Linked DNA regions of Oryzias latipes. The protein of the gene in region 2 purifies or fractionates together with the protein of the main gene of each other region. This does not show direct contact. Links are inferred from orthologs where the notes say so. Each region holds a gene or a part of one and is shown on either strand. Other genes may lie near its edges. The genes, in order: ipo9, ran and nup214.

Region 1 (4,538 bases), on a different chromosome or scaffold from region 2:
ATTACGACACAATTGTAAATCGTCTTAGAATAAATCCTTGGAAAAATGTTATTGGAGCTTCTTTTTTTAAAAGACAGTCTTCACATAGTTTTGTCTTTGCTTGGTTTTTGGACTTTGAAATGTATTTTCTTTGACTCTACATGTTTGATCTTTATTATAAAACAGAAAAACAGTTTTATACCAATTTTGGGGATTTTTGCAGTTAAAAAAACATTCAGTTATCAGAATTGATGATTTTGTACAGTTTGAGGTTAATTGTGGAATAATTGTGTAAAATAATAAAAAAACATCAGTAAAAAAAAGAAGCTGGGTTTGGACAAAAACAACAGCATTCAAGTAATGCCATGAAAATGGTTTTAAGAGATAAATAAACAGATCAAATTGTAAAGTCGAAAAAAAAACATTTAAAAAGGCCCCAGACAACTTAGGGTTAACTGGTGTGCTGCATATGAATTAGCGGGTAGGTGTGGTTCAAATTGAAACTTGACATCTCTCATATTTGTGAATGTCACCATATTGTAACAAAACGAGGACAAACAAGCCTGACAGTTGTTAGATCCCACCCAGTAAGGCCACACTTCCTCTGAGAATTTGACGGAACCCTGTCAATCATCTCTGATTGTTCATTTCTTTGGATACAACTTCCAATCAAAAAGAAAAGAAAGTTTGTGTCATCAAAACAAACTGTTCTAAAATTCTATTTATCAAAAACATGCCTGTACAGTGAGGCTTATTTGGTAAACAGACTGAGCATCAGTTTATTTCAAATGGACAGCAATTTTAGCCATTTTCAAGGACATAGTTTCTGTAGAGCGGCAGGAGATCATCCGAAATTCACCTCGAAGTTGTGGACTGTTAGTGTAGAAGTAAGCCTCCACTAATTTCCCATTATCCCTTCCTTTTACAATCTCTCCCGCTAGTTTACGTTTTTCTCAACCCCAACCTAACATTACCGCTGTAACAAAATTGGTGCACAGTATTGGAGCTATCCAGCTGTACAGTTTAGATCAGATGTCAGCTCAGATGAGGAAAACAAAGACGGACATGGATCTATTTGTCTGCAAGTGAATGCATCAGAATGGAGCAGAGCAGAGAGCTTGCGGAGTGTAGTTTGTACCTAACAATTACAAACCTTTTCAAACTGCTTTTTTTTCTCTCTGCTCTTGATTCACAGCATTTTGAATCAAGAAAATTAACAGTTTTAATCCAAATTTGCTACATATAAATACATTTAAAGAGAGAGAAATGTAACGAGAACAAAAAAAAAAACAGGGTTTTCATTTCAGTGGGTCTAAAGTGTGTCTCACCTGCATTATTGTGTTGTCGTCTGTGCGTAAAGTGCACTGCGCTACCACAGGAAAGGCCTGACACACCAACATCTCAGACAGCGGCGGTTTTGTGTTTCGAACCACTGTAGTCAAAATATCTATGGAGGTCTGGAGAGAAGAGCACAGACAGAGACGAATGAGTTCTGAGTGATTTTATTTTGAAAATCAGACACCCCATGTAGATAAAAAAACAAGTGAATGGATTTATGGACAAGACCCTCTATGTGGCCCTTGAGGGCTCCCCTCCATTTAACAATGTTATTTGCTTAAAATGATGGAGAGATGGTTTGAAACTGTCTGTGGAACTAAAGATAATACTACATAACAGAAAGAAATGTTTCTTTCTCAGGATCTGACAAACAATGTGGATCAAGGGAAGGGTGTGTGACACTTGAAACTCATTTCTTACAGCGCACAGTCCAGTGGGGATCTTGTCAGGAGGAGCCTGCATGATGCTGACCAGGGTTGGTATGAGCCGCATCTGCATGGGGCCCTGGCAGCCTTCAATCTGCGCCAGCTCTTTAAAAATGTCCTGAGCTGAAGAAGCCACCACAGGGTCTGAGGAGGAGAGATAGAACACCATCAGAGAAAGCGCGGATCAAAAATGAGGCACTCAAATGTCGGAAAGGTAAACAAACCATTATTATATTTAAGGAAGATAGCAATGGTGAGGGGGCAAATCTTGTTCTCAGCACTGGTGGTGAAGGCTGGGTCCACAGTGCAGACGATGCACAGAGTCTCCATGACCAGTGTGAGCACCTCTGAGCTGAACTGGGCGGCCAGCTGGACCAGACCCTCCAGGATGCTGGGCAGGAAGGGCTGAAGTATGTGTGTGCTTTCTGAGAGCTTCAGCTGGTCACAGTATCTGAGGGGGGAACAGGTCATCTTAGCTATTGGAATGATCAAATCGAGACCATCCTTTCTACAATATAGCTCTTACTCTAAGGCTAAAATATCATTTCTAGTTTACTTGGGTGATACAGTCTAAAGAAGTAAAAATAATGCATTTAAAAAGCCCCATGAGCAGCCTACCCCCATATGGCGCGGACTGCGGAGATGCGGACGGATGGAGGCTGACTGTCGTGAAGGCCGCTGACAGTGGCCTGGAGGAACTGCTGGATGAGTTCAGGAGTCATGGCGGCTGTGAAGCGGCTGGCGGCCCACAGAGCTCGGCCGAGGAGGAATGGGGATGCAGCTGCAAACACGAAACGGAACAACATCTGTGTATTTTAACAAATTTCATGAATGAGCTCAGGCAAAAAAAAGTCAAACTTTTGGAAAAAAAAAATATGTTAAAAATTAACCTTAAAAACAACCACAATTTACGTTTAATATTTCAATCGTTGTTCAAACTTAACTGAGAAAAACAGCCCTTTTTACAGTTTTCTTCTCAATCTAAACCAAGGTGGGCCAACCCCGACCCGGGGGCCATATGCTGCCCTTAAATTATTTAATCTGGCCCGCCAAACTGGAATAAATTATATTGATAATCCTTAATAATATTTTATTTTCATTTTAGATGGTGCACTACAAATACACTGACCTTTTATCAGGTGCAGAAAATATTCTGGTGTTGGAAAATTGGTCCATGTGTTTTTAAGTCTGACAGTCATTTTCTCCATAATTCCAACAGCACACCAATGGAAAATTCCTTTAAATTTACTTTTTTTTTCTTCCAGAGGAACATCAACCGATCGGTGCAAATGGTACTAAAATAAGAACGATAGCCTCAGTTCTGAAATTAAAAACTCCAAAATGTTCTGTTTGAAAATATACTGATTATTTTTCAATCAAAATTAAAGCATGTTTTTGTCCAGATTATAGTTATTTCTTCCTTTTATGAGGTGGATTACAAAAACCCTCCACGCATCAGCTCCTGGGCCGACCTTTCGTTAAATAGTTGGCCACCAGTGATCTCACCTCTGCAAAGTGCAGCTCATTACTGCAGAGTACAGTATAGATGGCATTTGGGAACACAACCCAGATTTGCTCTTAAATAACTTTTCAACCTTTAGTTGTTTTCTAACCGTGGATGAGGCCTCCCACTGTTGTGGTGAAAATGACTTGTGAGATCATTGAAATCTGCTCATCTACTGCAAACCGCTAATGTAGCAGCCGTGGGTCACGATCTAAAAACGTCCCTGCAGGTTTGTGCAACAACATGCCAGAAAAATCCAGAGGACTCAAACTTACACGGCAAGTTCAGATCAGACAAGATGACACCAGCCAGAAATCCGTGCATGTCAAACTGGACGCGGCCGTTCTTTACATTCTCCGTTATGATGGTCTTGACAGAGCCCAGAGCCAACATACACGCTTCGTGAATCTTCCACCTAGTATTGTGACAAACATGCATATACGAGATATTTATCAAATTCTTCTTTGAGTCAAAACAGGAGGTCAGAGTCTGTCCTCACCAGTGCTCATTGCCAGTGTTTTTGGCCTGCTCCGCCTCCTGCAGGTGTCTGGTTGCAGCCGCGGCGAGTGCTGCTGCACTCTCATTCTGAAACTCTGCAGCCACAGTCTGCAGTTGAAATGGTTAGCATCATTACACAGAAAGACAGGAGTCTTTAGTTTTAACAAAACCAAATAGTTTTAACAAAACCAAAGTACTTTCTAATGTCCAAACCGAAGAACTCACCAGCAGCAGGTCCTGAGCGGAGATCCTGACAGAATAAGAAAGGCTGTCATCATCTTCATCTTCTACAAACTGCTGAGGATTTGCCGTCCACACTTTGATCTAAAGACAGAGCAAACCAGCAAAATGAAACATTCCAGGATGTTTGACAGATTCCTTAAGCCGGATCTAGATTTGACTCACCTGGTCTTCTGTGATCTGCATGTATAAGATGATGTAGTAGATGAGTTCGGGCAGCGCTTTCTTCACCGTGCTTTTAAACTTTTTTTTCTCCAGTAGTGTGTGGACAAAGTCGAAGATGCTGAAGACCAGATTCTCAAAGCCCAAGACCTCACCTGGAGAAAGCAAGCATCCAAGACGGCTGTGGCCACACAGACTTTGGTTCCCAAACGTTTCATTGAAGATTCTGCTCACCATCTGAGTCAATGGGGTCATCCACTTCCTCTGTGTAGTTGACTTCTGTTCTAACATAGGTGAGCGACCGCTAAGGAAAATCTCATTTTAGTTGTAACTTTTTTTAAGTATAAAGACTCATTCCAATGAAAAAAAGTGTTTTTGGCATTCTTAATATG
Region 2 (4,638 bases):
AGCCATCTGCCCTGCTCAGGTGAGCGCAAATTAACAGTGTTTTACATTTTTATTGTAAATAAAATGATGCACATGTCAACAAATGAGAAATAGACATATGGCAGACAGGAAGATAAATGACAAGAATAAAAGCATCGTCTTTCAAAATGCAAGGATGTAATAAGTAAAAATAAACCTAAAAAAAAAACTAAAAGGAACTGGTCTGCATTTATCGAATGCTTTTGAATTTGTGTTTTACTTGTATTTTAATTCAGTGTGATACATTCTGTCTTGTGTAGTTCTTCTATTCTATTCTGTCCTGTTCTATTCTATCCTATTCTATTCTATTGTTCAAATGAATGACATGCTACATAAGAAAAGCTTTTTTTTGGCAGGTTATACAAATAAATAGTGCAGGTAACTGTCTAATGAGCATTTGGAGCAAGCAACAGCGAAAGCTCTGGCCCCCCAGAGCTTACACTTTGACCTTGGTTCATCCCAGAGCAGCTGATCAGCTGATCTGACTGAAGTGGAAGTTAAGGAAAGGAAATAAAATATCTACAAATACTACAAAATTTACAGGCTGGTGGTGGAGAAATGCCAAAGTTGATGTTAAGTAATATTTTCAGGTCTTTCAATTTTGCTTATGACATACTATATTTTTCTGTAGCATTTTTTTTAACGTTTGACTAACACTCAGTATGCACACGACATGCTGGGCTCTTACAGCCCTTTATCCTTTGAAGTAAAGATTTCTTATACCAAGAACTGCTTGTCTGGTCTGATCTTTTGTTTCCTCATGTCTAAGGCCATTACTATTGAGGCTGAGACTCGAGCTGATGGCAGCAGGAGAACTACTCGCTATGACATTGACATGACAAAGTGAATCTACTGTGGTTTCTGCCAGGAAGCTTGTCCTGTTGATGCTTTTGTTGAGGTAGGAAAAAGTATTGTATTTTTTATCGCGATTTTCTTTTGTTTGGCGATCAGAGTGGTTTTTCACGTTTGAATGTCTGGTATTTCTTTTTACATTTGTCCTTTTCTCTTTAAATTTCTCTAAGGGTCCAAACTTTGAGTTTTCCACAGAAAGCCACGAGGAACTACTGTACAACAAAGAGAAGCTGCTCAACAATGGGGACCGATGGGAATCAGAGATAGCAGCCAACATACAAGCAGACTACTTGTACAGATAAACCTTTTGCATCTGCAGTCTTTACTAGGCTTTACTGCATTAAAAGCATTTACTTTACTATTATATGAGCCACAAAGCCTTTAGGTCTGCTGCTTTCCTGTCAGAATTTAAAATCGTAAAAACGCACAAATTATATTATATATTGTACAGATGAGTAGTGTTAAACTTATAAGTGTTAAATTTGCACATTTTTATACAAAATGAGGCTAATACAAAGTCTGGAAACACTTTGATCTGACTGTGTAGTTTGAAAAATGTGAAATACTCTTATTTAGGACTAGTTATGACACTAAAATAAAGCACATTGGAAAATGTTGTGCTCATTTGTTTGTTGCATTGCATCATTGTCTTAAAATAAAAATATAAGGACGCATTCATGAGAATATAAAGAACTAATAGCAGACTTTTATATATTTAATATTTATATATTATATTATTGCTATATTTATACATTACATTATATACATATATAAATATACTAAACTATATATTTTTTAAACTGTATTTAGAACCCAAACTCAAAAAGGTAATTCTTTTCAAACCGTTTAGTGAGTCACGTGACCAGGGCGGAAACTGACTCATAGTCCACGCTGAATCTCCCGCGAACGCGGCCATTTAGTCTTTCCTCTCGCTGCAGTTACACCGGTGAGTCTGTGATCACTTGCTGCCGCAGGCCATTCCATATTTTCAACTTTGTACCCGTTTAAAGGGTTTAATAGAGAAAAATACGTTGAGGTAGGATTAGGATTCACGCGTTTGTGTAGGCCATGTGATGTGTGTACTCAGAGAAACCAATCAAGCTATTCGTGTTTCTTTTTTGTATTTCTGTGTGCCAACTGCTAGCTAAGCTAAGCTAGCAGTTGGCCCCGTTGAAAAGAATACCCACGGTGCTAAGCTAACGCTCGCGTTTGCTAGCAGTTATTAAGGGGACTTCTGTGTGCTTTTTCATAATCGTCTGATTGTATCCTTATATTAGATTTTAAAAATACCGTAAATGACTTGCACGTGAAAAACGTGCTTAGGTCGGATTCGAACCGGTTTACAGAGGGGAACACGTTTGTGGCGTATCGAGACCAATTGTTCTAGCCGAACAAGAAAAAGTGCGCTCTCGCGTCATATGGCGCACTACGTTAGTGCTTGTTAGCATTCGAGCTAGTTGGTAACCATCGATTTTAACGTTGTGCCTTAGGGCAGGTTTGTTTTTATTTAATGATGCCGTATTCTTTTGACCCGTTTTCGTTAATTATGTTTTCGACTAAAAAGAGGAACGCATTGCTACACACTTGCTGGTGTGTATAGAACATGCTAGAAGTTATAGGCGGGTAACGGCCCGGTTCTTCTTAAACTTACAGACCGTAAATTCCACAAATAATTACGGTTGTAGCTCTTCGTTTAGTCATATTTAATTTCCTCTAATGTGACCAATGCTAACCCGAGCAGACCGCTAGCATGCTAACAAATTCATCCCGCCTTTCTTTTTACTTAGAAAAGTCGCAGCCATGGCTGATTCAATGGGGCAGTCTGTACCAGTTGCAGTTTTCAAGGTAAGTTATGTCATAGCAATTGATATGTTTATTTGTTGCCCAGTGTTCGTAAATGCTAAATGCAGTGTCTCCTCAACAGTTGGTGCTGGTTGGAGATGGAGGCACAGGAAAAACGACTTTTGTGAAGAGACACATTACAGGAGAGTTTGAGAAGAAGTATGTAGGTGAGTATATTCCACTGTAATTACAGATAAACAATATTTTCATCTTTTTAGATATTGCTGTACAAACCGAAACAGTTGGAAGTTCCCAATACTATTTTTGAGTTAGAATGTGCTGGAACATCATTCAAATCTTTGATTGTATATAATAGCCAATATTTTACTTGGGGTGTCGCGTTTAGTGACACGGAGGTTTAAAAATAGTCAAAAAGCTCAAAGTTTGCATTTGAAAGTATTAATGTAAATATTTTCTGTTTAGCAATATGTGGTATTGCAGATAAACCCATGAGCCACGCTTAAAAGCAATATGGTTTTGTCTTGATTTTAAAATATTTTGTGCTTTCGATGACACCTCTACGCGTCTTCTTCTATTACAGCTACTCTCGGAGTCGAAGTGCACCCACTGATGTTCCACACCAACAGAGGACCCATCAAGTACAATGTCTGGGACACAGCTGGTCAGGAGAAATTTGGGGGCCTGAGAGATGGCTACTATATTCAAGGTGCTCCTTTTATTTTCAGAGAGGTTGTCTTGTGCGTGTGACCTCTGAATATTAAAGTTGATACTTATCTGTCCCATCAACAGCTCAGTGTGCTATCATCATGTTTGATGTCACATCTCGGGTCACCTACAAAAACGTACCCAACTGGCACCGTGACTTGGTCCGTGTCTGTGAGAACATTCCCATTGTCCTTTGCGGCAACAAGGTAGACATCAAAGACAGAAAAGTCAAAGCCAAGAGCATCGTGTTTCACCGCAAGAAGAACTTGCAGGTAAAATTGCTTCTTTTCTTTTTTTTTTTAATTATTCAGTGTCTCTGTGTTGAATTTACACAAACTCATTTGTATTTGTCTTATTTAATTTCTTTTTCCAGTACTATGACATTTCTGCCAAGAGTAACTACAACTTTGAGAAGCCCTTCCTGTGGTTAGCAAGGAAGTTGATCGGTGATCCAAATCTGGAGTTTGTGGCAATGCCTGCCCTTGCTCCCCCAGAGGTCCTTATGGACCCCAACCTTGCCGCTAAATACGAGGAAGAACTTCAGGTGAGTAGTACACGGTTTTTCTTTCATATTGCACATTAATCATCATGTGCATTCATTAAAAAAACAATAAATGTCACAAAGGAACGATATACACGCTCTGCTTCTGTTTTCCTGTTGGGTGCTTAAACATTATTTTGTTTTCCAGGTTGCATCACAGACAGCACTCCCAGATGAAGAAGATGACCTCTAACCTGGGAACCGCTTTCCTTAACCCTTTCCTTTTACCCTTCTCTCTCTGACTGTGGACAGGAAGTTGTTTTGCCCCTTTACTGTAAAATCCCTTTTCAGATTTTTTTATTTTTGAATTTTTTTGTTTTAAAACTTACAAAGAAAAAAAAACTTTGTGCAAAAGTTGTCGTTCTAATTTCATTGTAGGACAAGCCCATCCCAGATTTGTTGTTGGCATGGCAACGTGCTACTTTTCATCAAGCACTCTCCACTGCATCTACCCAACTCACATAATGCTGTTGTACGGTGTACTGGGAGCACTAAGGGGAATAAACTTTGAATAAAAATATTGTCATTAAAACATTGACTTGACTTTGTTTTTGCTTAATATCTTTGTTTCCTAAATAGTACATGTAAATGTGAAATAATCTCAATGATAGTTGTTTATAAAAAACTTTCAACCTTAATTGCTCTTCAATCCTATTTTCCTTTAAAAGTATTAAGGCTTTTAGGCATTCTTTGGTTAAGGAATTTAAAGATGTATAACT
Region 3 (4,538 bases), on a different chromosome or scaffold from region 2:
CATTCTTTACATTTTACAAAGAATGTGTGAAGTGTGTAAAGAAAACCACTCTGATGAAGCCGTTAAGACTTTAGCTGCTCAGTTTCCATCAGCCGATGCAATCAGTGAAAAAGTTTGAATCAAACTTTATAAGTCTTGGGGCGAAACAAACATTGCATGACAAAGCCTTGAATGGATGATATAAACTGAGCTTTCAGTTCCTCTGAATGTGACTTTTTCTGTTATTTTGAATCTTCAACCCATAATGCAACTGTCCAGCCTTTATCTTCAGTCACCGACATCTCGACTTAAGGGGAAGCTGTTAGTGAAGTTTGAGGAGATCCTGGAGGAACTCAGCTTCTCCAGCTGCCAAACGACGGAGCACCCGGTCTGGAAAAAGAAAGGAAAAAACAAAAAAAATGTTGAGAACGAGTAGGACTTGCTGCGGTATATTAAATTATATCTTTACTTGTTTACCATTTCTAAACCTGATTCTGAACATTTCTGCTATTAGGATCATTTTTTGGTCTAAAAATTCAGAATAATTCAGGTTATTCTGTAAAGACAGATGAGATTGCAGCATGGTCATGCTTACAGAGAACTAAAAGACATCTGCATTTCATTTTTGTCCCCCAGTTCATTCTCGCAGCTCCTTCTTTATATTTTAGTTCAGTCAAAACTAATCTCTGCTGCTGCTGTTCGATAATAAATGTGATAAGTGAAGCATTTGAAGAAGGTGTGATTAGTGCAGAATGTGTGTGTTTTTTTGTCAGGGGTGATGGGAGGGAACACAACAGAGAGGCTGAATGCCATCGTCTGACAGAAATTTACTTTGACTTTCTAATTGCCTTTATCAACAACAATGACTTGTGTCGTAGCTTCCACTCTGCCATATCCAATCGGTTTTCTGTTGATTTATTCTTACTATAGTTTGGCGTGCCAGATGAGCGCTGGCTCATGACATTTAGAGCCATTTCATACCATTTCATACTTTCCATGCAAGACAACAACAACAAAAAAAACTTTGTGCTCTCTGCTGCTGCACAACAAACAGAAATAGTCGTGTTTATCAAAATCTCAGTTTTCTTTTCTTTTTTAAAGACCCACTCCGATAAAAATTGTGTTTTGGGTGTTTTTATCATATTCTTGTGGCCTTTTTCTCACGGTGAAGGTCATATATCAAGAAAATAAAAACATACAATTGCATTTCTGAGTATTTGACTTTATTTAAATCGCTGTGGATCAGGAGCAGATGAAAAAATTCCGTTGTAGGTGTGACATAGAAGCTATAACAGGCGGGCTACAAGCTCCCAGCTCCGCTCCATTCTGATGCCTTTACTTGTAGGCGACTAGATCCATGTACGTCTTTGTTTTCCTCGCCTGATCTGGCATCTGGCTCAAAACTGTACTGCTGGATAACTCCAATATTGGATTTATGTTGCACTGGTAATGTTAGGTTGGGGGAGTGATGGGTTGTAACCGCTAGCTCTGTTATGGATGATGGGAAGGGGTGGCGGGGTTGCTCCACATCGATGGTCTCGACTGCAACTCAGAGACTAATGTCGAATAAACTCTTATCGCTCTGCAGAAAGTATGTCCTAGAAAACGCTGTTTTTGAATTTGTGGTTTAATAGCATAATCATAATTTAAAGAGATCAATAGATGATCAGAGTGGGACTTTAGAAATAGAACAAATAATCAGAGATGGCCAATACTCAATTATTGAATTCTTAAAACAGACTTACTTTTAGAGATTGTTAATCCAACTTTGTTGTAATGGTCTATGATGAGAATTATAACAACTTGTTAGTACTACACAAAGCATAATAGTTACTAAATATAAATTTGTAACATTTCTAATGTGCGAATGAAAATTTGTAACATTTCAAATTTTTTATATAAACACATTAATAGACGGCAGTTTTTGACATAGCAAAGAACAGCCGGTAATAATGATGAGCTGCACAAATGGTGATGGATTGTTAACAACACTTGAACGCTTCATCTGCACAGCCCCCTGCACAATTTAAAGTTCATTCTTCTAGAAGAAGGCCAGAGGGATGTGAACTGCAATGAGACACCACAGCGGATGAAGAGGAACGGAGGAAAGAAAAAAAGAACAAAAAGGAAGGAGAAGAGCAGATCTGAGAGATGAGGAGGGAAAAGATAAGATTAGAGAGCTAAGCTAATTACTTTAGGGGGAAAGATCTAACATTACTAAGCAGCCTGTAGGACAAGATCTTTTCAAATATGTTTCAACAAACTTATAGCAGACATTCAGTCATTTTTATGTCTGCTAATTAGTATAAAGTGAAAGAAATCAATAAACACACTCACGGATTTGGAGATCCAAATGCGTTTCCTGAAAATCCTGCAATACAAAAAAAAAATACAACTATTAAAATCATAGAAGGAAAAAATAAATCATCATGGACAACCTATTTCCCACTGATTTGCTTCAAAGAGTTCACAAAATCAATAACTGAAGGCTGCAGAGCTTTACTAAGCGAGCACACAACATCAAATTATCCCAGAAGTCCCTCCACACAACCCAAGTCGAGTGGAGCGGAGGAATGAATGCAAGTGTTGGAGTCGCACCTCCCGTCTGTGGCTGCTGGCCAAAGCCTGAGAAGCTGCTGGGCTGGCTTCCAAATCCAGGGCCCTGCTGGGCCAAGCTCCCGAATGACGGCGCAGTCTGAGTGGCGAGAGTCCCAAAGGAGGGGGCACTGGGGGGTGAGGAGAAACTGAAAACAGGAACAAATGTCAAATGGAAGGTTTGACTGGAAAATGGGTGATTATGGGACAATTTGAATGAACACATTCATAAACACAGAATAAAATGGTCCTTGATGGGTTTTGACCAATGCGAGCCAAGATAGACACTTTTCCCCCCTTTCTTTCTTTATCTGTATGTGGGATTGAGAAACAGGGATTTAAACAGGATTTAATCTCTTCTACAGGACTCGCTCCCTCCCCAAGAGAGAGAGAAAGAGAATAAGCAAAACACTGGGGGAGAACAGAGGGAGCTGGCCAGTTTAATCTGCAGCCAGAATGACCCCAGAGTGAGATTATCTGGGGGGAATAATCTACTCGCCCATAGAGATCCATAGTTTTAAGGCTTGTGGTCACGCTTACTGCAGCGAAAACACTTGCAAAGGCTGAAGAAAAAGGAAGATGAAACACAAACAAACAAGATAAACCTGAATGTATAGGGGAGTTTTGAGCTGTAAACTATATTTTCTAGGTAAATGTAATTCTTTTAAAATGTTCAAACATAACCTTACTGGGATTTTGTACCATTTTTTGGATATTCTACTTTTCTGTTACACTAATTTCAATAAAAAAAAGAGAGATTATATTTTTAACAGAACATGTAAACAAGTATACTACTCAATGCAAAATTCAGGGAGAAAAACTAAAACTGTGTGAGGTCAGAAAAAAGCACCAAATGAATCATAATCTCCTCATTTTGTGATTTAAATATAAAAGAAATACATGATAAAAAAATGTAAAATATTTTTTGGTTTTAAAGGGCTTAGGTCTATAAAAGGGTGTTTAAGTAAGAGAAAAAACACTCAAGGTGTAAGATAAAAAAAAAGCGACATCTTAAAGGACCACTTTGATGAAATGGTGTTTTCTTCTGATGATGGAGGACATGTATGAAGAAAATTAGGCCTAACATTGCATTTCTGAGTATTTCTTTTTTCAAATCGTTGCGAATCAGGAGCAGACATAAAAATGCAGTCTGAAAAAGAACTTATTGGTGACGTAGAAAATATGATGGTCTAACAGTCAACGAACAGTCCCGCCTACAACTCAGAGGCGAACTTTCACAAACTCCTGTCACTCTGCAGAAACTATGTCTTAGAAAACAACACAGCTTTCGGATGTTGCCTAAAATAGCATAGCTACAATTAAAAGGACCACTGGGAACGCTTTTACAAGAAATCCAGTTTATAAAGTAGACATCTTTGCTCTATTTGCGAAAACAAACATGTTTGGATTTCCATGTTGCTTCACACTGTGAGTCAAAACCTGCTGTTCCTCACTCTGCTGCATAAACAACCGAATGACACATAGTTCCAAACCAAAACATTGACTGTAGGTGCAGAACATAAATACTACTACACTAAGCCACACAACACCAAATGTATTCATGTTGTTACAAAAGCAGCAAACTTAACAAATAAAATGGGCCACATATTGAAATCAATAACTGCTTGAAATACTTTTTTTTTTAATAATTACCCAAATCCTCCCATGCTGGCGGCTGCTGTTCCCTCGCCAAACACTTTACTGGACTGGGAAGCTAAAGGGTTGCTGAAAGACGGACTTGAACTGAATGAAGCGCCGCCACCGAATGCAGGAGAACCGCCAAAAGAAGGGGGGCTTCCGAACACGGGGGCGCTGCCAAAGCCGCTCGCTGTAGAGAGAGAGAGAAACAAGGTGAAGGCTTGAAAAGGAGGGCAGTGGACGGGTGCCGGCTTGGTCGAAAACTGCTTAGTGAGAAGCTCGGAGGGTTTTGAAGCAATTTTCAGAGCATTTCTCAGTGTGTTCGC

What was found.
Region 1: the proteins of ran (region 2) and ipo9 purify together in Homo sapiens (affinity purification with mass spectrometry; 3 studies listed by BioGRID and IntAct, with this or other methods). This does not show direct contact. The link is inferred for Oryzias latipes from reciprocal best matches to the Homo sapiens genes RAN and IPO9.
Region 3: the proteins of ran (region 2) and nup214 purify together in Homo sapiens (affinity purification with mass spectrometry; 3 studies listed by BioGRID and IntAct, counting the BioPlex papers as one, with this or other methods). This does not show direct contact. The link is inferred for Oryzias latipes from reciprocal best matches to the Homo sapiens genes RAN and NUP214.

What each region holds. Positions count from the first base shown.
Region 1 is NC_019863.2:11,417,426-11,421,963, reverse strand, and holds part of ipo9 (importin-9), read right to left. Parts: intron 4,440-4,538; coding exon 4,381-4,439; intron 4,302-4,380; coding exon 4,150-4,301; intron 4,069-4,149; coding exon 3,970-4,068; intron 3,853-3,969; coding exon 3,746-3,852; intron 3,662-3,745; coding exon 3,522-3,661; intron 2,524-3,521; coding exon 2,361-2,523; intron 2,194-2,360; coding exon 1,967-2,193; intron 1,887-1,966; coding exon 1,738-1,886; intron 1,437-1,737; coding exon 1,308-1,436; intron 1-1,307. UniProt on the Homo sapiens protein: Nuclear transport receptor that mediates nuclear import of proteins, such as histones, proteasome and actin. Serves as receptor for nuclear localization signals (NLS) in cargo substrates.
Region 2 is NC_019868.2:13,953,598-13,958,235, reverse strand, and holds ran (GTP-binding nuclear protein Ran), read left to right. Parts: upstream 1-1,725; 5' UTR 1,726-1,816; exon of another isoform or gene 1,817-1,906; intron 1,907-2,073; exon of another isoform or gene 2,074-2,460; intron 2,461-2,657; 5' UTR 2,658-2,670; coding exon 2,671-2,715; intron 2,716-2,794; coding exon 2,795-2,879; intron 2,880-3,253; coding exon 3,254-3,379; intron 3,380-3,462; coding exon 3,463-3,650; intron 3,651-3,751; coding exon 3,752-3,922; intron 3,923-4,067; coding exon 4,068-4,112; 3' UTR 4,113-4,457; downstream 4,458-4,638. UniProt on the Homo sapiens protein: GTPase involved in nucleocytoplasmic transport, participating both to the import and the export from the nucleus of proteins and RNAs. Switches between a cytoplasmic GDP- and a nuclear GTP-bound state by nucleotide exchange and GTP hydrolysis.
Region 3 is NC_019870.2:10,676,650-10,681,187, forward strand, and holds part of nup214 (nuclear pore complex protein Nup214), read right to left. Parts: intron 4,403-4,538; coding exon 4,228-4,402; intron 2,724-4,227; coding exon 2,578-2,723; intron 2,351-2,577; coding exon 2,317-2,350; intron 1,761-2,316; coding exon of another isoform or gene 1,727-1,760; exon of another isoform or gene 1,725-1,726; intron 370-1,724; coding exon 333-369; 3' UTR 1-332. UniProt on the Homo sapiens protein: Part of the nuclear pore complex. Has a critical role in nucleocytoplasmic transport.